3 linked regions of the Stegostoma tigrinum genome follow. The protein of the gene in region 1 interacts with the protein of each later gene in a pairwise test. Links are inferred from orthologs where the notes say so. Each region holds a gene or a part of one and is shown in the gene's direction. Other genes may lie near its edges. The genes, in order: pacsin1b, jade2 and cobll1b.

Region 1 (7,989 bases):
CCCCGGCCATCCCTTAATTCCGTGCGAGATCAAGAATTCATCAATCTCTGCCTTGGAGACATTTAACATCCTGGCCTCCACTGCGCTCCGAGGCAATGAATTCCACAGGCCCACCACTCTCTGGCTGAAGAAATGTCTCCTCATTTCCGTTCTAAATTTACCCCCTCTAAATCTAAGGCTGTGCCCACGGGTGCTAGTCTCCCCGCCTAACGGAAACAACTTCCCAGTGTCCACCCTTTCTAAGCCATGCATTATCTTGTACGTTTATATTAGATCTCCCCTCAACCTTCTAAACTCTAATGAATACAATCCCAGGAGCCTCAGCCGTTCATTCTATGTTAGGCCTACCATTCCAGGGATCATCCATGTGAATCTCTGCTGGACACGCTCCAGCGCCAGTATGTCCTTCCTGAGGTGTGGCGCCCAAAATTGGACACAGAATTCTAAATAGGGCCTAACTAGAGCTTTATAAAGTCTCAGAAGTACATCGCTGCTTTTATATTCCAACCCTCTTGAGATAAACGACAACATTACATTCACTTTCTTAATCATGGACTTTACCAGCTAGTTAACCTTTAGAGAATCCTGGACTAGCACCCCCAGATCCCTTTGTACTTTGGCTTTATGAATTTTCTCACCTTGTTACTTGATACACAGCCTCCAATAACCACAATCATCATCTATGTATCCGACTCCAAACCCCCACCATCCCAAAATTCCTGTTTAGCAAGGGCTCCTCAATGCCACTTGGTCAAACACTACATTGATATCAAGGGCAGTCAATCATACCTCGCCTCTTAAATTCAGCTCTTTTGTTAATGCTTGGATTACAGTTATAATGAGGTCAGGAACTGTATGACCTTGGTGGAGCCAAAACCGAGAACCAGCAAGTAGGTCACTGCTGTGTAACTGCTGCTTGTCGACTATACCGTCTAACCCTTTGCTGAAGTTTGAGAGCAGCCTGACAGGTGATAATTGGCTAGAATAACTGACTCTACCCAGGCAAGTTTACACATACTAGGTAATTGCTAGCTCTGTCCCTTTACTGGAACAGCCATGCTGAGGCAGTTAGCTTGAGCACATCCTCAGTATTATTGCCAGAATGCTGTCAGAGCCCAAAGCCTTAGTGGCGTGCAGTGCTTTCAGCTCCTTCTTGATATCATAAGAAGTGAACCAAATTGGCTGAAGACCCCCATCAGTGATGTCAGGGATTTCAGGAAGTTGGATCACCCCACAGCACTTCTGACCGAAGCTGTATGTAAAAATGAGGCCTGTCTTTCATTCTGATCGACGGCAGCCCTCTCTATCTTTGTGGTCTCCAGATCTATAACAGCGAGACAACTGCAACTCTCGAATGCTGACCAATCTTACCGTCTCTCCACCATTAGTGATCATGTATTGAGCTGCCAAGATCCTAAACTCTGAAACACCCTTCACACACCCAATACTGCTTACTTTCCATTTTTAATATTCACCTTTAAACATTATCTCCCTAAACACGTTTTTGGCCATCTGCCTTACCATTTCATCAACTAAAGGCCAGTGTCAAATTTGTTTCATAACGTTGATATGAAGTTTCTTCGAAATTTATAGACTGTTTATAAATCATAGTTATTTAAATATGATACCTGCATGGCTTTCATTACGTGCAGGTTTGGGACATTTTTGTCTGCCAGTTCTGGATGTTTTGGCATATGCACATCCTTCTTGGCTACCATTACCCCCTCCTTGAAGAGGAGCTCATAGATAGCAATACGATTCTTCTTAGGCATCAGCATCTGAAATAAAACAGAATAGGGGACTTCAACATTGGAATTTCACAAGATCTAGTTTGGTCATAACCTAATATTAGGTGATTCTCTTCCAATATGCACACGTTCACTACAACATTTATCTTATATTTTTGGTTAAGAGTAATCCAGAAGTACGCTGACAGTATCTGTGGCCTGGAACACTCAGTCCCTCCTGTTTATAACAACCTCCATCTGACAGCCTATAGAACAATTCTGAAGTTTGTTTTAAGAAAATGAAATAGCAACAAGGGGCTTATTACTAATTATAAATTTAGTCATTACTGATTAGAGACAAGATTTACAAAATTCAGTGTCCTAGTTAGACTCCCTCCTCCCTGTCCCTTTCAAAATTCCACCATAAGGTGTCCGTATTGTGAAATGCCTCTTCAAAGTTGTCTTTCTTCAACACCTACATGTCAATCTCTGTAGGAACGTCAACAGTAAAGGCAGCTAGAGACAGCGTAGGGCATATGCTTGGCTTCTTAAGGGGCCAGCCCAGATCAGGAGCCTGGGTTCTGTATTGAACATGTGACCTCCCACAATTTGGTAGTCTCTCTGCCCAAAGGCCCAGTGTTGAGGCACAACCTAAACTGCTGATGAAAACAGCTTTCAAACCAACAGTTTCATAATGAAGCTGAAACAAAGTAAATTAATCAAAAGATTGTTCTTATCTTTAGATGTATTTCTGTTAGTTACATCTGAAGATAAAATACAATCATTTTTGAAATATCACACTTAAGCTACTCAAGAGGCAGCTTCAGAAAGCGACTCCAAGCATACAATTTAGAAGTAGGTCAGCCAGCCCTTCAAATCTGCATTGCCAATTAATAAGCTCACAGCTGATCTGCATTCCAAATTCCACAATTCTATCTTTTATTATTCCTTAATAAGAGTGACAGTGGATTGATCATTATTTTCAACAATTCCAACTTCCTGAGGCAGAATATTCCATCACAGATCCACTGTAAAAAAATTCCCCTTACTTGCTGTAAAGAACATGACCCTAACTTTAAAAGTGTCCCCTCATTCCCGAATCACCCACCCTTTCTCTTTCCACCTTGTCAAGACCCTTGAGGATCTACAGGCTTGAATCAAATCACCCTCTGCTCTCTTGAATTCTAGTTGATATAATTTCAGCGTGTCCAAAGTTCCTCAGTAGACAAACTGCTAATTCCAGGTCTGAAATCAGTAAACTTCCTCTTAATCGCGTTTTCTTCTTAACATCAGTGCCTTTCCACCATGTGTATCGTCGATATTACGCTCAAACATCTATTACAGGAACTCATCTTTGAAACAGCGGTATAAGAGGAACACTTTCACCTCGGGGAAACCAGAAAGCTTGCATAAAATATTAACTTAATACTAACTATAACGGCACAAAACAGACACCTTTAAAACTACACAACATCCTAGAGAAACAACTTCCTGTAACTTTTATTCAGTCAATTAACAGAGCCTGAGGCCTACCCTCTCTATATCACCAAGACTGCAGCAGCAACTGGGAGGTATTTTATAAACTATTCAATAAATACTTATGAAATTATAGAAATGAGTGAGTGAATAAATACAGATGACGCGTGTCAACCACCATTGAGGTCTTGAAAGTTCACCCCAGCGGGATGTTAGAGATATTTAAGGATTTTGGACAGCCTTTCTTCACATACCTTGAACTCTAATAATGGGGCTGAAGCCGGAAAAGACCGAGCATGCGCACTCGGAGCCTCTTCCTCCTTCGGCGAGGGTCCTTAATATTGCAATCTGCGCTAGCTGCCCTGACTTAAATAAATCCTCGAATAATTAGAAGGAATAGCCGAGTTTGATATTTTTAAAAAAAATTATACTTAATAAATGCAAATTGTATTTTGTCCCGATCGGTATAAAAGATTGGGCGCGTTGGCCAACTGGGTCTCGAGGGTCAGCCGTTAGTACCGTTGATTTAAAGGAACGGTTGTGGTTGTGGCGGTAAGGGAACGATTGGTGTGTGCTTCTGCACAGGGGTACTACTGAGCTGCAGTGTTGTGGCCAACATGGAGACTTTTATCCCCGATTACAGTACTTCATTTGGGCGCAGTGATGGTGTTTCGGGCAGTCGTGCCTCCTGGGAATTGTAGTTCTCGGTGGATGTTGTTGGAGCAGCACCAGGACAGTGAGTGGCGCTTAGAAAATGCTGGGAATATTTATGCACAAATATAAGCTCAAATGGAAATATAGTGGGAAAATTTCTGCAAAATAGTAGGATGCTGGGAATATTTCTGCACAAATATAGGCTCAAATGGGAATCTAACTGAAATGTTGAAAATACAGCAAGAAGACTAATCTTTCATGTTGCTTGCTTTCAGAACTGCAATCTAATTATATAGAGCTGCAACCCTGCTTTCCCCCTCCCAATCCAATGAATAATTCACATGAAGAAACTTGAAAGTCTGATTCATGTGGCTGATGCTGATATTTAACATAATTTGTTCACGTTACCTAATTGGCTTATTTTCACTAACAGTTTCAGCCATTTCTGATTTATTTCATTGTGTCACTTGCTAACCTCAACCCCTTTCACATCCCAATCCTACCTTCTATAGATGCTGAGGAAAAATCTATCCCTTGTTGCACTTGCACCTGCCCAGAATCCCAACTGTCTACCTTTTTGGTGTCTGTAGCTATTGATTTATTCAGTTGGATTCTTCCTCCACCTTTTGATGCTGTAGGCCATGAGGAGGAAGAGTGAGGCACTTGTCACTGCCCTCCTGTTCTTTAGATGACATGTCCATCATGGGCCTCCTGCAGTGCCACAATGATGCCATGCAAAGGTTGCAGGAACAGCAACTCATATTCCACTTGGGCACCCTGCAGCCCAATGGTATCAATGTGGACTTCACCAGCTTCAAAATCTCCCCTTCCCCCACTGCATCCCAAAACAAGCCCAGTTCGCCCCCTCCCCCCACTGCACCACACAACCAGCCTAGCTCTTCCCCTCCCCCCACTGCATCCCAAAACCAGCACATCCTGTCTCTGCCTCCCTAACCTGTTCTTCCTCTCACCCATCCCTTCCTCCCACCCCACCCCTACCTACTAACCTCATCCCACCTCCTTGATCTATCCCCTCCCAACCTCCCCATCTACACTTTTCTCTCCATCTTCGGTCCACCTCCTCCTCTCTCCCTATTTATTCCAGAACCCTCACCCCATCCCCCTCTCTGATGAAGGGTCTAGGCCTGAAACGTCAGCTTTTGTGCTCCTGAGATGCTGCTTGGCCTGCTGTGTTCATCCAGCTTCACACTTTATTATCTAAGTATTCAGAGAGCTTCTGTCTTGGGTAGATTGAGGACCAATGTGCGGGATGCTGTTGGTTAACAGAGGAGGCTATCAGTGTGTTACAACATTTGCTGCAGTCATAATTTCAGCTATACATGAGCAGCATTGCCTATGTCTGCCAAGGTGATCATCACCCTTTTTATGCCATTGACTCCTTTCCAATTGCAGTAGACGACATAAACAACAAATCCTAAAGTTGCCATTCACCGCTGTTCAGGAAGGTAACTGAGGTCACTAGACCAGGGAAAACACTTATATTTTCTTCTCCTGGAGTAGAAAAATGAGTATGAGGGAGTGCTAGGTTTCATCTGCATTACAGCCCCCCATTACCTGTCCAGCAGTTGTATCATATGAAAGAGATTTTACTCCTTTAATATGTTAACGACCAAGCAGTCAACCTGCTCAAACAATGTTTTCACAGACGATTTAGAAGGACCTGTGCATTATCCCTGAGTGGGTATCCAGATTAGAGTTATCTGCTGCGTGTTGCGTAACTTTGCCGTAATCTGTCTTTACCACCATTTGGATAGGAAGAAGTGAGCTTTCAGTGCAACTGTGAGCTGTCAGGAGAGATTCCTTGATGGTGGGCAGCAGTGTCTAGTTGATGGACTTTGCACTTTGTCCATATTGGATAGAATACTCTCCATTCTGTGCAAAGACATAACATGGATTGGAGCATGACTTTTCGGTATACTGTGACCTTGTGCACCAGTTTGCTGGCAGACTGCATAGTGCAACTAGAATTTCCTGGACTAAGTTCCTCAGAATTCACTGATTGCTTCATTTTGAGCCCTTTATTTTTCAGTGCAATGAGGTGTTTCACTTGGAGCTGGTGTACTTGGTCACCATCTTTGAGCACTCTGACCTGAACTGCTTGGCCCACTCTCCAGGCAGCAGCAGGCACACAGCAACCTGGATCTCCTGGGAGTTGATGGAACTGCACTTATTTTTGGATTGGTGATAATCTCATTGGCAAATGAGTTCATGATGTAGCTAGGCTAAAATACAATCTCTCTTTCTGGTGAACTATACCAATGGCACCCTTCACGCTTTGGCCAGTGATTTTAATATGTGAAGACCTTCCCCTTGTCGAGAATGTAACATACATGGGATGCCAGTATCCATGCAGGTGCTGACAAGGGTGAGATTGAACACATATCTTCAGGAATCTTCCTCAGATAATGCCATACATCATTAGCACCTGCAAACAAAGACAAGAGCTTTCTTTTTGTATGAAGGAAGAGCAGAATGAAAGAAGTCACCAGTGAAAACATTTGCAGTTGAATAAATATCACATATTGACTGTGACAGTGCCTTTCTATTTATAGTCATGCATGATTAGGCTTTGATAGCTATGAAAGGTGGTGCAAATTTTAAACCAACAGATGTTAATTTAATGTTTCTGAACAAATTGTTTTAAATTCTTTGTAGTGATCAGTTGTAGAATTCATTGGTTTGCAGTGCTCTATTTATAGTGCAGTGATTATGCCAGCATTACCCACCCTGACCTGATAACCAAGGGTGTTTATTGGAGAGAAAATGTCAGCTTTTCCTTGTGGCACATTGATACTTGTTATGGGAGCTTGATAAATGCAATTGCCGTTCAATGTGATCTCCAGAACACTGGGTAGAATCCCATTAATGAAAACAATCTGTCTTGTGCAATGATATGACCGATTATCCCTGCCAATAACTTATGGAATCTCTTACATAATTCTCCTTTTTAATAGTCCAATATCTTGTGCCATTTTGTTCTCTTGAGTACTTTTTAATAAAGATCATTATTGCTGATTACTGTCAATGCTGTTTACTTAAAAGAAATCGATTAATTGCGCTCCACATGCAAGAATATTGTTAACAATAATATGTTTAAGCTTCAGGTTATGGAATATAGTGTCATTGGAATGTTTTAATTGAATTGCTGTCAAACATTTCACTGACTTTGGATTTGTAATGGCCCTTTTTCTGATTGGACAACAATATGACATGAAGAGCCACAAATTTAAAATAGAGATGCAGAGCCTGATTAAAACTGCCTGACATAATTGATTCTTTTCTCCTGGTATAGTTACTGAAATGAACCTTTTTTTCCTTCTATGCCCACATCACTCCTTGCCCAAAGGATAGATAAATAACCTGATTGTAGGCTTTCCTGTCTGTACTGCATGGTTGACATTAGAATCATTAGAAATTTGTGTTATGAGAAAAAATATTGATGTGATCCTGCTAGATAGCAAAATATTCCAAACACTGAGAGCTGAAATAAAAACACAAGTGCTGAAAACATTCAGCAGGACAGGCATCATCTGTGGAGGGAAACAGATCTAATATTTCAGGTCATAATGATTCATCATTGGAAACAAAGATAGAAATATAATAATTTTAAAAACAATGGGAGTGGGGAAGAGGCAGGAGTAACAAAGGGAAGGACTGTAATAGTGTTAAAAAAAAACAAATAAATATCAAAAGTTTTCATGATGCAACAGTCAAAGAAAGTGGTAATGGATATATTACAGAAGAAAAAAGTTTTGTCCAGATGAGGCTCGAATGGCTGTGGTAGATATTTTGAATACAACATGAAGGGATAAAGAAAGAAACAAGCTAAGACTGAACAATAAAACAAAACAAAAAAGGAAAGAGCACGAAGAACCAGATGAAGGCAGATTGTCGAACTTGACGATCAGTCCAGAAGGCAATGGAATACTGAATCAAAGGCTAAAGAGTTCCCCTTCAAACTTGCATTGAGCCTCACTGTAACAGGATTCGAAAAAGGATCAGAGCAGGAACAAGGTGGGTTAAAATGACAAGCAACCAAAAGATTGAGGTCGTGCATACAAACTGAATGGATATGTTTCACAAAGCAGTGAATACCAGTAGCAGAGATAAT
Region 2 (7,989 bases), on another chromosome or scaffold:
TAAGGGAGAACCAGTGCATGTGGTTAATTTAGATTTTCAGAAGGCTTTGATAAGATCCCACACTGGAGGCTACTATATAAAATTAGGGCACGCGTGATTGAGAGAAAATACACTAGTAAGGATCAAAAATTGTTTAGCAGACAGAAAGAGAGAGTAGAAATAATCAAATCATTCGCAGAATGGCAGGCTGTTACTTATGTTGGAGCACAAAGACTAGAGCTAGATTCACAGCTATTCATAATCTGTCAAAATGATTTGGATGTGAGGGACAATCATAATATTTCTAAATTTATTGATGATACTAAAATCAGTGGGATCATCAGTTGTGAGGAGGGATGTAAGGAGGTTTCAAGAAAAAATGAACAGGCTGGGTGAATAGACTAGAGCATTTATAATGTGAATAAGCAAGATGCTATTCACTTTGGTAGAAAGAATATAAAAGAAGAATATTTCTTAAATGCTGAGGAGTTGGGAATTAGGGTGTCCAAAGGAACCTCGGCTTCCTTATTGATGAGTCACTAAACTTTGACATGCAGGTGCAGAAATCTATTAAGGAGGCGAACACCAGGTAAACCAGCATCAAAAGGGGATTTGAGTGCAAGCAGTAAAGATGTCTTGTTGCAGTTTTATAGAGCTCACACTTGAAGCATTGTGTCATTTTAGTTGCTTTTCCTAAGAAGGGATATATTTGTTCTAGATGGAGTGCAAGGGAGCATCAACTTAATCTCTGGGGTGTGTTGTGAGGAAAGATTGAGGGGATTGGGTCTATATTCACTCAAGCTTTGAAGAATAGGGAGAGATCTCATTGAAATTTGCAAAATACAGGGAGTGGGAGGATGGATGTACATAAAATGTTTCCCTGGACTGCTGAGTCAAGAAACCTGTAACAACACCTCAGGATGAATAGTAGGCTATTTGAACTGAAATGACAAGGAACTTCTTCACTTTGGAATCCTCTAAACTAGAGGATTGTGGAAATTCAATCATTGAGCATGTTTAATATGAAATGCAATAGACTTCTGCAGACGAATGATGTCAAGAGTTATGGAAGATATGCGGGAAAATGGCATTCAGATTGATGATCAACCATGATCTAGCTGAATGGCAGAACAGCCTCCATGAGTTAAATGGCCTACTCTTGTTTCTATGTGACCCTTTGTAGTCAAACAATTTAACTTCTGTCAGTATGAGGGCAAGGTTAATTAGTACTCCATTTCATTTTGAGGAAGTGAAATTATAAATTGTAAGCTTCTTGAAAATTTCAGGCTTCAGGCCAGAATTCTGCATGTTTTTCCTTTTTAAGTAAGTGTATCGCCAAAGTCAGTCAGAAGTTGCAGATGTTTAGAACTTTAGTATGGAAAGGCATTTTATGATGTCACAAGCTTTGCAAGTGACTTGCTTTGTTCCTGATGAGAATTATGGAGGAATTTGTATTCTGCTGGGTGATACAGACAAAGTATATACTAGACACATCATTTTTATTGGTGTATTTTCTCTAATGAGTTACTGAAGGTTCTGACGGAAAGTCAGAGAAAACAATGTTTTATAAGGATGGAAGCATTATATTTAATAAAAACATGATATACGATTCTCGCAGGCACGTAAGTTAATATTCTTTTAAGGTTGCAAAGTCAAATTTTGCTATTTAAACACTGGGAAATGAAGAGGACAATTGAGAGGCTGCTACTGAATGAACGGCACTGCAGCTGCTGGTTTCAATATTCTGTGCCCTTATCTTTAAACTTGTTTACAAGATAGAACTTAATCTTGAGACAAGCCACAAGAGGTTCAGGGCGACACTTAAGGTGTAATGGACTAGAATTGAATGCTATACTGTTACATAATTCAACAAGCTAAAGAGTGATATGGTTCAGATGCTATATTTTATCCTAAAGGATATTGATAAATGTACCAAAGTTAAATCACAGTGTGTACATTGATAAAAAATAAAACAATTTGACTTGCATTAACTAAACTAAGCTGAATCCACAACTTGTAAATTTCATATGGAATATCTGCAGATGCAGATGTTTTCCATACAACTATCAATACAACTATTTAGAAACAAATGTTTTCTGACTATTGTAGTATTATTTATATATATATTCAGACTTGTGGTTTATTTCCTTGAATAGATCTATGAAAGTTTGGAAACAGCATATCACAGATATTTGGGACTACCCGGCGGTGTAGTAAAACTATTATCTAAAGAGCATTGTAGTGTCTTTTTCCAGGCCGTACTGTCATTTAAAATCAAAATCCTTGACTGCCTCACACACAATAGAAGGAAGCTTCTCTCAGTGCACTTGAATGAAAGAGACGCTGCATCTCACTTTGAGGGCGAACAAGTCTCTAGGTTGTTGAATACTATGAAGCAATGGAACTAACCATTATTGCGTACACATAATAGATAGATAATAAACTGAAGTCCGTAAAGGAAACACGTTTCTCCAGTGGAGTCACACTGTCTGCATCTTTCCTGTACTCTATCTATTTAAAATAATGAAACAGTCAATAAAACTTTCGGAACTTGTTGAGTTTGTACAAGGAAAGAGACACGTGATGGATTTACATTATTTCTCCACTCAATTATGATTAGATTTCCATGCAGTTATCCTGCACTAAGCTTTAGTGTTCATGGTCGCACAATTCACTTGTTTATAACATCATCTTCAGAAATATGTTTGACTACGTAATAGCATCAATGACGAGTTAACAAAAATTTGAAATTTAACAAATTGGAACATCCTTCCTTAAAAGAAAGTGGCCATTTGACCTCAAGGACGCACTTCAGTGCAAGGTGGTTGATAACTTTACTTCTGCCTAAATGACCTCGGAGATTAATCTCCAGAGTGGGGACAATACATTCCAGATCTGCTAATTGTACCCTGTACTTTAATGTTCAGTAATTTTGCATGTGTCAAAAATCTCCACCGTGAAGAGTAAGGCGTTCTCATTGCAACACCTCTGGACAATTTAAATATTTTTTTTGAAAAATTGCATGCAGTCGCTGGGAGGAAACTGACATTTGATAAGAGCAAAACAAGATGTTTTACAAAAAAAAGGCGTGCATCTCTCGCTCTCCCCCTCCTCTTCGCACGCCTCTAATGAGTTTCCCCTGTCTTTGGTACGTTGCAACATTTAAGTAAAAGACGCCGGCTTTGACGCAGGGAGATCGTGTCTTTTTTTCCAAGAGGCAATTTTAAGTACGTCATTAATATGGCGCCAAAAGATTTTGAAGTATGAGCTATTTCGTTGCTAGGTCCTGTCGTGTACGCCCGTGCCAAAAAAAAAGAAAAAGAAATCCCTGGCTTTTCTGGAGGTAAATTTCCCAAAGTGAGTCTAGCTCGTCCTGAGATCTGAGGTCCAACCTCCCTCATCTCCTCTTTTATTTTTTTAAACATTCAAATTATCCGGAAAGGGATCGTACTGCACATACACACAAAATAAAACCCAAGAAGGGGAAGATAAGAGAGAGAGAGAAATAAGTAGCAAAGCAAAAGAAAAAGAAACCCCACACAAGATGCAGTTTGCAAAACAAAAAAAGAGAAAAAATCCGGATCGGGGCGAAAGGATCTGAAACGCAACAGGACTGCGTTAAAGTGATCTGAAAAGGTGGGAATGAGAGAGAGAGCAGAACAGAGCAGCGGAGCTGCAAACTGTGTGTGTATGTGTGTGTGTGTCTCTCTGTGTGTATGTGAGAGAGCGCCCATTGCATTTCATTGGCAGCCATCTCAGCCCTGTGTAACTGCATGTTTTTTTTTAACAGCGAGGGAGGGAAGGGGAAGGGGAGGGGGCAGAGACAGAGGGAGGGAGGGAGAGAGAGAGATTTAAATGTATTAATGGGCAATTGGATCGATGTGCGTTTCCTCCTGCGCTGCTTTTAACATATATCAGCACCATCGCATTCACATTACAACACCATCATCACCATCGTGGCCTGAGGACAGTCACCGCAAAAAAAGAAGCATATAGATCCGAAGCTTAAGCAGGCAAAAAAAATTGCATGGTAATTATTATTGATCGTTTCTAAGTAGAGAGAGCTAAGTAACTGTTTGGATTTTTGGAAGGAGGGGGGTGTGAATACAGTGGGTTTGATCTGCACCCCACGCATACAAATTTCCTTATTTTTTTCCCTGTCTACTTATTTTGGGGACCAGAAGTGCAAGGCTTAACTTTTTTTTCCTCTCTCTCCCCTGATATCATATCGCTGTTCCGTGTAACCAGTTACTGCAGTCCAGGACTCTTTAAAAAAATGTTTACATATTTTTGCACCCCAGGCTGGGAAGGAAGGAAGGAAGGGATGTGGTAGGGGTGCTTGCTGTTTCTTTTTTGAGAGAGATGTAGATTCTTGGGTGGGGGGGTGGAGTGTAAAGTGTTGTGTGTGAGGGGGGGTGGGATGAACATTGAAATGTTTTATTTTCACAAAATGCATCGTCTTTATTGAGTTACATCATTTTGAATTGGAGTGATTGGGGACGCTGTGTGTGTGTGTATGTTGGGACTACCGTTTGCAACGTAGGAGCTGTGTTTTTTAAAAAAATAATACGTTTAATACATGCTCTCGCTGTGTGTACATGTAGGTTCCTGAGTGCAAACTGCGCTGCTGACTCTAGGGGGAGTGGCTGTTGTTTATCCCGAATTCATTGCGCTCAGGTTCACCGGGGGAGGCGTGGCACGTCCAATTTCACCCCCCCCTTTCTCCACTAACCCCCCCCTCGCTTCCAGCAGCAACAATAACAACAACAACATCCACCCACCGAACAGAGAGAAGGCAAAGCCAAAGGCAGATGAAAAAAAGTTGCTGGATTCTACAGGCAGGTATAACTTCCACAGCACGCATCAAAACTTGGTCAGCGCCTAATTCCCCCAACCCCATCCCCCTTTCTAATTCCCATCCAAACTCTTTCCAACCCCCTCCCCCCTTTAAAAACTCTGCTGGATGCACAACTTTTTTTTCTCCCCCAAATGACAGATGCACACGTGTGGTTGCCTGATGCCGAGTGGCAATCACTTGACCTGTAGCTGCATCACGCACTGGGCGCAAACCCACAGACTGAGGAAGAGGAGGGACCGTTGACCTATATTAACTCACTCTATACTGGCAGCTTTTTAATTTGATTATGGGGGAGGGGCGTGTTGGACAACTTCCATTATCTTAATTTGCAAAATATGCAAGCAGTGAAACATAAGTGATGAAAATATTCTCCCCCCCCCCCCCCCGAACAGTGTGAAAGCCAGTTGAAGGATTGAGAACCTGATTGTTCGCGTGCAAAACTGAATTGTACTCCAAGGGAATAGAAGGACCGTCACAACGCAATACAATTTGTCTGTGAAAGGTCACTTCTTTTAATTGGAAGAGGAAGATCAATTGTCTAACGTGCAAAATGTTTTGAATATTTCGCACTACATCACCCACAGGCAAAATTAGAAGTGGTTGTAATTCTTTTGGAAATAATTTAATCATTTTGTCTTTATGATAAGAAAGCTTAGTGTTTTCACGAGCTGTGTTTGCAAACAACTTGGGTTTTAAGCCAGTGAATTAAGTTTCTGAAGTTTATTTGCTATAGTCATAATATGCTTCAGGATTTGTGTCAACCTTTTGCTTTACAAAGTATATAAATGTGGAGAGGGAAATGTGACAGTTGCACTGTGGTTCCCCTCCCCCTTTGAACATCTCTTGGCTGTGCATTACTTGCAAACTGGTGTTCTTGTGGTTTTTGTATTGTGTTCCTCCCTTGCTACATTGCTTTGGTGAAGGGCAAAGACATTTTCATTAAAAACTGTGCCACATGTGAGTTAAAAGGCAGTGGAAACTGTAGAGGTCAGTATTATGTCTGAGACTACTTTGAGATGTGATATGCAAGTATTGTATATTGATGAGCTGTCTATAATAATCAGCTGCTGTATTCGTTACAAAGTCCTTTATTTGTTTATGAGCAGGAGGCTAAAAGGGGCGCTTTTGTCCGTTGCTTGTAGTCCTTGTCTCCCTGCTTTGATTTGAAATGAATTGTATTGGATTGATGATGTTTGGATAATGTGTTAAGTGACATGGTGGCATAATGTGTTGGACTATTTAAGTTCAAGTCCAATACAAGTTTGATGTTTTGCAGATCTTTCTGATTTCAGTTACGTTGTTGTGGGGAATTGATACTGGAAAAAGCAAAAAAAAAGTGTCAAGGGCCCATGCCTGCAGAAAGCAGAAGGTCCTTATGCAAATACAGGGCCTAATGCCTGCTTGTGACATTGTTATGTTGCCAAAATGCAGCCTGCATTGGGCTGGCAATACTCTGGAAAATCAGGTTTACTTATAGACTTAGCAATAGGTCTTTTAAAGCACCAGTACAAGTTACCACTAAAATGCTTTATAAAAGTACACTTGGTAATGTGCAGCTCAATATAAGGTGCTATCTTCAAATAATGAGCGGTTGCTTGCAAAGTTCACCTTCTCACCCCAGATTGTGACCACATTACCTTCTCCTGCAGCAACATTTCAACCTCACTGCCTGTAAGTGAATTTCTGTCCTAATATTGTTCCAGGGTGGTTTCTGCACACCTCCTAGTGGTGGATTTTAGACTAATATTATTGGAAGGCATGAAACGCATAGTCTTCCTGCTCTTATGCCCAAAATTAATCTTGACCGGAGGGGATTGAGAGAGGAAAATGCAACAAAATAGGATAATTTGCTGTCAAATAATGAGTTTGTGATTGATATGAAAGTCCACATAGTAAGTGTGTACAGCTGTGGAAATCTGTGGATTTTAAGTAAGTCTTGTTTTCTGTGGACCATTTTGGAATTATAATCTATGGATGAATTCACTGCTGCCAGAGGAGCCTGTAAATAGAATTATTAAAAAATTAATTGTCAAAGCAGATAGCTAAATCAAACTTGTGTAAATCAACTGTAGTAGTGACCCTTATACTCAAAATTAGTAATTAATTCTGTGTTTACTGATTACTTAATCTTTTTATGTGCAATGGCATCACGACAGACACAACACTGTATAATGTTAGTTACACAACTGCTCAGGCTTCTGAATGAATTAATCTTCAGATGTGGGTTACTCTGGTACTCTTGTATTTGGTGCTCATTCCTAGTAGCATTGAGAAGTTCACATCGAGTCACCAGTTTGCCTCTGATTCCCTGTGTAGGTAGGTGGTCCTTGAATGATGTTGGGTAGAGAATTCCAGGACATTGACTTAGTGACAATTATGATATAAATTACAAGGGTGAGTGAGTTGGAGGGAATCTTGGATATGGTTATAATGCTTATGAGGTATTGTTCTTTGTGGTGAACCAGGGAAGGAAGTAATCCTGGTGATTTGAAGAGTGCATTCTGTAGATTGTGCTTGTTGCAATCATAGTCCACCAGTATTGGAGCCATGAATATTGAGCCCAGGAGAAAGGACGCCACTGCCTTCTTGAACTGCAGCAGCCCTTTGGATGTGGGGACACCAGTAGTACTGTTAGGAAGGAAGTTTCAGGATTTTGACCCATGTACGTTAGAGTAATTGTGATTATAGTTCAGAGTCAGTATGGTACATGGCTTGGAGAGGAACTTGCAGCTGGTAGTCTGGCCAGGCTTTTGCTACCCTCGTTCTTTTAGGTGGTGGAGCTTGCAGGTTCGGAAGATGCTGTTGGAGGTATCTGGTGAGTAACATCTTGCAGGTAATGCATGCCCCTGCCACTGGTTGACATCAGCTGTTCTGTTCCTGGAGAAGCCATGAATGAAGCAGAACATTGTCGAATCATTGATACATGCCTTACTCCTGACATTGTGATGGAAAGCCTTTTGATGACACTTCTGCAGATGATGTGGCCTACAGCCTACCATCTTGAATAACTTTAGCAGTCCTAAAGGCATCTTCCCACCCTCCTTTAATGCATGTTTCTTGTCTCCGAGGGATTTGACTTTAGCCCCTATTTACCAGTTCTGCTCAAACCTCTTGGTATATTATTTGCTTGAATGCTTCCTTGATGGACATGG
Region 3 (7,989 bases), on another chromosome or scaffold:
ATTGTGACAATTATCAAGAAAGTGTATTTGACCAACACCAACTGTAGTCTTCCTACTGTCCAACACATGGAATATTGTTCCAAAAATTCTCTTCAACATCTCCACCAGTAGCTGAAGAACTATGACCGGAATTTGGATTGGATGGGGAGACAAATTCAACAAGAGTGCAGAGAGCAGCAGCAACCTCCATAGATAGCCTTCTCTGACCGTACACTGGTCTTTGACATTAGATACCAGTACTGCAATTCTGAACAAGGAAACTAAACAGCAGTACAGGGAGACACTCACAGGTAGTGCTGGGGGCCTCAGTTGAGGAAATAAATGGGAAGAGACAGCCCATATTTCTGCAGAGGCTACAAGCCGCTCAACAATCACCCTCAAAGAGGAATGGGTGCAGGTAACTGGCAAGGTTATTTCTCAGAGTTTAGCCCCCAATGAATTCACATCAATGCAAAAGGAGGTTTAATGACTTCATGAGGGTAGTCAAGGATCTTCCTAAGAATTCTGCACCCAATGCTTCACCAATCTGTTGTGTTGCTTAAGGTACTACATCCCCAGCACTCACTGATCAGCAATTCCTACACTTAAGACACAGACGTGATTTCGAGATACTTTTCCTCACCCTCATATATATTCCAATAACGTCATCCCCACATTGAAATCTCTGTTTCATTTATCTCTAGCTGTTCAGATTGCTTTTTTGATTTCTTGCTCTTAAATATCCAAAACCTGCAACAGCCCAGCCATAACGACTCAGAAAAAAGAAACAGCACAGGAAAGAAACATCAGCATTTGTTCTGAATCATAAAGCCACTATCAGATGTGGCATTGCATGTATCTTGGATACAAGTAAAGAGTAGGGATTTGCATTTGGTGAGTCAGGCACAACTGGGCCACAGCCAGGCTAAGGAAAAGGATAGTGTTTTTGTCAACTCTAACTGAAGGTCACGGTCACGACTGAAATCTGCTACAGGAGGGTCAAATGAGGCCTTTTAGATAGTAACATAGAGGCGAGTGCTAATGAGGATGTACACTGAGACGTATAGGGCTAAACCTCCTGTCATGATGAATCAACACTTAACTTCAGATTACCTTCAGAATGCTGTCTCCTCCATCAGATGCCATTGAACTGACTTCAAATGACATTGGAACTGTATCCCCATGTTATGTAACAGCCTTTGAATGAGCAGGTGACTAAGCTCTTTGCCCTACAGTAAAGTAACACTTTCTGTCAATTGTAGGAACTCACCAAATCAATTCTAAAAACATTCCTGCGCACTTGCAAAGTTTTCAACAGCCACCAATATAATGATTTATCTTACCTGTAAATTGGAAACTTGGAACTTTAAGTATCACTACTGCTAGGCCCAAAAGCACGATTTTGCTATGTAATAAGTAAGTGTACTGAAAGGATCTGCATGCGACAAAATCATAAATAGAGCTGAGTGACACCTTGACCTCATCACTGGAGAGGTTTCCATTGGGCATTGGGGATGCCCATCAATGTCCTTTGCAGTAATAGGTTGTCATGTGAGCAATGGCTGGCACGATTATGTGACCCATGCAAAGCACCAAGCATGTCTATACATGATCTCCAATCTACACATATTTGAACTTTGCACCCATTACATGTCACATTACCACATAAGTGCTATGGTGTAGAAGACTATTCAGCCCTTCATGTCTGCACTAGCTCTCTTGATCTTTTACAAGTGGGAACAATTTGTCTCTATCTGATCCCCCATTATTTTGAAAACACGTATCAGATCTCTTAGCCTTCTTCTGTGAAAACAGAACAAACCCACCCTCTCCGATCTGTCATTATAGTTGAAGATTCTTCATCACTGGAACCATTAATGTAAATATCTTCTGTGCTCACCAATGCTTTCACATACCTTCTAAGAACTTTATTCTGTGTAGATGCCACTAGCCAGGACAACATTTGTGGCCAATTCCTAAGTGTCATATAAACTAAGTGGCTTATTGTTTTAGAGGGCTAACTACCCTCAGTGCTAACTACATTCTACCACATTACTGTATGTCTGGAGTCTTACATGCCCAGACTGGGTAAAATTAGCTGATTTTCTTCACTAAAGATCATTAGTAAACCGAGTGGGCTTTTATAATAGTTCATCACCGTTTCAAGGTCAGCATTATTGAGACTTGATTTACATTCCAGGTCTAGCAATTACATTTAAACTCCACAACTTTATCCATTTTATCACCTTGGGCTTCTGGATTGCTAGTCGGGCGATATTACTGCTACACCACCGACTCCCCAACCAATACATCAACATGTCACTGAATCTCTCATGGTTTGGCCCTCACCTTGGAATTACTTCTATCTGCAGGTGACAGACACGGCCATAGCTGCAGTTACACGCTTCTGCCACGAGGTAGAGATTAAGATCAGAAAAGTACGCGTCCCAAACGGATAGAATTGCTGCGGCATCGGGAGGCCGTAGTATCAAGGGATTAGTTTTGGGCGGAGTAGTCTTTAGTAATGTGTTTGACAACAGAGCAAAAAAAAACTTCAAAATTATATCAAATTGCTATTTCGCAGTAAGGTCTCGTCGGAAATATTGTGACTTCAACTAATTCAGTAATCAATTGAAAATAAACTTTTTCTTCGTTAACACGAAATCCAAGCGGGGTTATGTGTCACGACTCCGTGAACAACTTCCTGCTGTTCAAACTCCCGGTGAATTCTTAGGAAATCTGAGCCTAACTAATCAGTTTTCATAGGTCAAACTGCAGAAACTGACTAGTTGAAAGAACTCGCACTGTATCAAATGATCGCATTCACAAGAGAAGCACATTCTTTCAAAAGAAGGAGTGGCTAGATAAAGGAAAATGCAGAGAAATGCAGGTGTTTAAACACGCTGGACACCTTTCTCCCCCAACTTCGATAAAGCGCAGCTGGGAGTGAACAGAAGTCGGGTCTTCCCAAATTTCCGTGAGTCGAGTCACACCAGATTGCAGCGTTGATAACTTCACTAGATGTCTACCTTCCTACGAAGCAACAACCGTGTGTGGCCAGTGTTCATTTTCGCTCAAAGTTAAGCAATGGTGAGGAAATAAAAATTACAGTACTGTAAGGAATTGTTTAGAGTTCTTACACTTCTTTTAACGTCAAACGTTAACAATATAAAACGAGACCAAAGTCCAATTTGTTTTAAAAGTTCTTAAATGTTAAGGGTGCCACTAGGGTATCAGTGAAATTGTCCATTTATCCTATTATTTTTCCTAATCAACTTGTTCAGAAACGTTATAACACTTCTGGGCCTTGAACCTGAGCCTCCCAACTCAAAGGCAGGGACACTGCCACCGCACTGCATGAATCCCCACGAACTGTGCTGTTAACCCATTGTTTCTAAGAGATGTTATTACGCACCTTTGGAACAGGTGGGGCTCGAACCTAGGCCTCCCGGTTTAGGGATAGGTAGAGTACCGATGTGTCTTCCCACACCACACAGCTGCTGAACAACCTCGGTTGGTCTGTAGAAAAGGTTAAAAGGTGTTGGTCGCAAAAGCCTAGTTGCACTAAAAAAAATGCGTTTGAATTCCAAGTGAAAATGTTGGGACTTGCGATCAAATGTAAATCAAAACGCAAAACAGGCATTTCGACATGTTTGGCAAGATGGCTGGACAGAGTGGGAAAATAAATAAAGGCTCGGACGGATCGTTGCCTGGGACGTACATTTTTTTTTAAAGATCAATATACTGAAAATCTGGCAGGGTTCGGTTCTGCTTTAATTGCAGGTGGAACCTTCAATCCTGGCACGATAGCTCTCGCATCCTAGTGGCAAGAATTGAGATGCGCAGCTCAAGCCAACAGAAGCTTAAACCAGGGAAACAAAACCACTTGTGTGTAGTTGTACGCAAATAGCACTTTGCTAAAGAGTTGGGTGCTGGTGTGCAATTGGGTCCAATCTATGCGAAACCGAGTGCTGAGGAAGCAGGACAGTGGGGGAGGGGTATGTTGAAACCGCCGTGTCCGGGATCGAGCAGACACACAGCGTGGAAAGTTTGATGTGGAGAGGGCAAGTTCTCACACATGTCATAGCTTGAAAATGTTTGTGTTTGCGAAAGTAGAGCGGGAGCGATCGGCGCCGCGCTTAAGTTGAGCCGTTTACGCTGGAGACTGGGCAAAAGCTGGGCTGGATCATAACCCTCACAGAGAAGGGGAGAGAAATAGAGAGGTTCGCGAAATCGCGAACCAAATCCTGCACATTTTAAGGTTTGTGGAGGAGGAGGAGGAGGGGAAAGGGGAAATCCACGCACATTGGCGTTGATCAAATCCAGCTTTCTGCAGTGTCCTACGCCGCGAATACCCGAAATCATTTTCACATCGCTTTGTCTTCAACGTTGCTTCGGTTCTTGCTGTTACTTTACAGTCGAACGAGGAAAGGCAAAAAGGAGTCAGCTGACGAGAAAGTTAGAAGAGAACTGTTGTAAAAACTGAGAACGATGGAAATGCAAGTATCAGAGTCTGGGACTGCAACTCTGCCTTCTTCAGGGTGAGTATTGCATCTAATTTCATTTACATTCATCAAGTTTAGCTGTCATGAAATTACTGCCCCTTTTGAAGATTTTGGCCTCCACACGAAGAGATAATGCAAATAACGTCTCCTTTCTATTTACAATTTGTCTCATGGAAGCACTAGAAAACATGGCTTACTCACTGAAGCCGCCTGGTTCCATAACTCCTTCGCAGAGCAGGGGCATATCACAAAAAAAGGGCGATTCCATCTGAGAAAGAGAGACGCAAGAAAATCAGCAACTCATAGAAGGCAAGACCAGAGTTTCTATAGGCACACGTCGAAGTAGAAACAGTAAAAGAGAACGTGACAGACTTGCAGAGAAATTGTGATAATGGCAAAAGATACGGAATGTTTGCTTAATGTTGGGCTTCAGTGATTGGGGGATAGAAAAACTTTGGAAAAGTCAACCCACAAGAGTTAGGTTTAGCATGGTAACGTAGGCTATCATTTAAGAAATGTTATTAAATAAATTATCCATTTAATATGACATTGAAAGGCTAATTACACCTCAAAAGTTCTTAATTAGGTGTAAAATGTTAGGTGCCTTGAGGTCATAAAAAGGCCACATATATGTAAGTCTTTCTTTTCGTGTGGATAAATGACAAAATCCCGATGATTTATAACTGCTAAGAGAAAGTGAAGCAAAAACAGCAAAGGCATTTGCTATAATTTCTCACAATTCTGCAAAAATTGCACCCAAGAATTGGATGTCAAGTATGAGTCCTGGTTTCAAAAAATGTTGAAAGTTATTGCTAGTACAAAGGAAGATGGTTGTTGTTATTGCAGGTTAATACTCTTTCACAGGACGTGACAGTGGGAGTTCCTCAGGTGAGTGCCCTGTGACCAGCCGTCTTCAATTTCTTGGATAATGGGAACTGCAGATGCTGGAGAATCTGAGATAACAAAGTGTGAAGCTGGATGAACACAGCTGGCCAACCAGCATCTTAGGAGCACAAAAGCTGATATTTCGAGCCTAGACCCTTCATTAGAAAAGTGGGAGAGGGAGAGGGGGTGAGGCGGATCGAAGATGGATAGGGGAGAGGAGACAGACAAGTTAAAATGACAGGGATGGAGTCAATAGAGGTGAGTGTAGTTGGGGAGGTAGGGAAGGGATTGGTCAGTCCAGGGAGGATGGACAGGTCACGGGGGCAGGATGAGGTTAGTAGGTAGGAAATGGAGGTGCGGCTTGAGGCGGGAGGAGGCGATAGGTGAGAGGATGAATGGGTTAGGGAGGTGGGGACGAGCTGGGCTGGGGTTGGGATGCAGTGGGAGGAGGGGAGATGTTGAAGCTTGTGAAATCCACATTGATACCATTGGGCTACAGGGTTCCCAAGTGGAATATGAGTTGCTTTCCCTGCACCCTCTTCGGTTTCTTCATCAATTACCTTCCCTTATCCAAGGTCAGAATTGGACATGTTCACGGCACAGTATTCAAACTCATTTGCCTCTTGTTATTACCATACAGTAACCCATATCCATGTGCATTAAAACCTGGATTACATCAGGCTTGGGCTGATGCGTGGCACTTATGTGACTTCCCACAAGTACCAGTCATTGACCATCTCTGTTTGAGTAAAGGAGTTGGGGCGTTATGTTGAGGCTGTACAACATGTTAGTGGGACATCTGGAGTACTATGCCCAGTTCTTGCTACCCTGTTACAGGAAGGATGTCATTAAGCTGGAGAGGGTTCAGAGGGGATTTACCAGGATTTTGCTGGGAATGGCAGGATTCAGTTATAAGGAGACGCTGAATAGGCTGGGACTTTTTTTCACTGGAGTGTAGGACGTTGAGGGTACACTTTGTAGGGGTTTATAAAATCATGAAGGGCATAGATAAGGTGAATGGCAGTTGTCTTTTCCCAGGAGTGGAACAGTAAGGCTAGAGGTCATATTTATAAGGTGAGAAGCGAAAGATTTTATAAACGGACATGAGGGGCAGATTTTTAACACACAGTGATTTATGTGTGGAATGACCTTCCAGATGAAGTGGTGGATGTGGATACAGTTATAACATTTAAAAGACATTTAGATAGGCACATGAATAAGAAATGTTTGGGCAGATATGGGTCAAACACAGGCAGGTGGGATGAGTTTATTTTGGGATTATGGTCAGCATGGACTGGTTGGACCGAAGAATCATTCATCATGGAAACAGACTGTATGACAATAAATTACATATTACACTGAATCCATACTATCAACATTAATAGTATGTTGGGGGTTCCATTGACTAGAACAAGAACTGGACTAGCTGTATAAGTAATACAGCTGCAAAAGCAGGGCAATGATTCTGAATGTTGCGGTGAGTTAATTCACAAGAAAGGAGTGTTATGGAATGCCCTGTACTTATTTGGATTGTTGAGATTGTATAATACTGAAGAAATCCAACACTGTCTAGCAAGAAAAAGAAGCACTGTTTATTGGTCTCCCTTGTCTGCCACCCTGAACATTCACTTTCTTTGCCATAAGCATGGAGTGGAGCAGTTTGTGCCATCTGTATGATACACTGCAGAAACTCACTGAGTCTTAGACAGCACCTTCTAAGCTATAAACTCCACTTCTTAGGAGAACAGTGGCAATAAATGCATGGGAATATTGCTACTTAAAACCTTCTCTCAAACACACATATTGCTTTGGAGCTATTTTACTGCACTTTGACTGTTGTGGAGTCAATATCCTGGAACTCCCCTTGTAATTGAATAGGGGGCATACCTACAACCTCATGACTTCTGTTGTCAAGAGGGCAACTCACCACAGCCATTTTGAGGGCAATTTGTAATAGACAAAAGTCCTGGCTTACCATTGGTGCACAAATCCCATTAACACATTTTGTAAAAAGTTGTATAGCTGCTGATTTGCTAAATATTTTCTACATTTGCCTTTGATCTTATTCCCAATTAAAACATGTTCACTTCCATCTGGTTCAAAGATAGCAAGAACTGCAGATACTGGAGTCAAAGATAACAGTATGGAGTTGGCGGTACTCAGTAGGCCAGGCTTGGGACCCTTTGACTTTCCTGCTTCTCTAATGCTGCCTGGCCTGCTGTGTACCTTTACTTTCATCTGGTTGTTGCCTTTGGAATGACTATCATTTGCTTCAACGACAAGGGACAATAATTCAGTGCTCAACTATTTTAACTAGCCACCACCAGACCTAGCTGGTCCGTATCAAGTTCCGTTTTGCCGAAATTGTCCTCCTTAGAGAGTCAATAGTAAACTTTTCTTTTGCTGCCAGCCATCTCCTAAAACCCTCTCCGTTGCCTCTTTCAGGTTTTCCTCTAATAAATGTGAGGACTTAATAGATAGCTTTGTTACAATGACTGAAAATATTCTTTTTGTTACTTCTGCTTTTCCCATCTGCAAATTGCTGTTAAGATAAACTGCCAACCTTCTTTTGACCTATCTTTGGTCCCTCCACTCTAATTCTTTTTCCATCTCCTTTCAC

What was found.
Region 2: the proteins of pacsin1b (region 1) and jade2 interact in a two-hybrid assay, tested with the Homo sapiens proteins (2 studies listed by BioGRID and IntAct). The link is inferred for Stegostoma tigrinum from reciprocal best matches to the Homo sapiens genes PACSIN1 and JADE2.
Region 3: the proteins of pacsin1b (region 1) and cobll1b interact in binary tests that used the Homo sapiens proteins (3 or more experiments, as listed by UniProt). The link is inferred for Stegostoma tigrinum from reciprocal best matches to the Homo sapiens genes PACSIN1 and COBLL1.

What each region holds. Positions count from the first base shown.
Region 1 is NC_081374.1:38,804,243-38,812,231, reverse strand, and holds the start of pacsin1b (protein kinase C and casein kinase substrate in neurons protein 1), read left to right. Parts: upstream 1-3,709; 5' UTR 3,710-3,939; intron 3,940-7,989. Other genes in the region: rps10 (40S ribosomal protein S10), read right to left, coding at 1,629-1,778. UniProt on the Homo sapiens protein: Plays a role in the reorganization of the microtubule cytoskeleton via its interaction with MAPT; this decreases microtubule stability and inhibits MAPT-induced microtubule polymerization.
Region 2 is NC_081366.1:30,389,259-30,397,247, forward strand, and holds the start of jade2 (protein Jade-1), read left to right. Parts: upstream 1-3,232; 5' UTR 3,233-3,615; intron 3,616-3,855; exon of another isoform or gene 3,856-4,009; intron 4,010-4,738; exon of another isoform or gene 4,739-4,821; intron 4,822-7,989. UniProt on the Homo sapiens protein: Scaffold subunit of some HBO1 complexes, which have a histone H4 acetyltransferase activity. Acts as an E3 ubiquitin-protein ligase mediating the ubiquitination and subsequent proteasomal degradation of target protein histone demethylase KDM1A.
Region 3 is NC_081360.1:62,967,342-62,975,330, reverse strand, and holds the start of cobll1b (cordon-bleu protein-like 1b), read left to right. Parts: upstream 1-2,682; 5' UTR 2,683-3,069; intron 3,070-3,764; exon of another isoform or gene 3,765-4,240; intron 4,241-4,397; 5' UTR 4,398-4,470; coding exon 4,471-4,520; intron 4,521-7,989.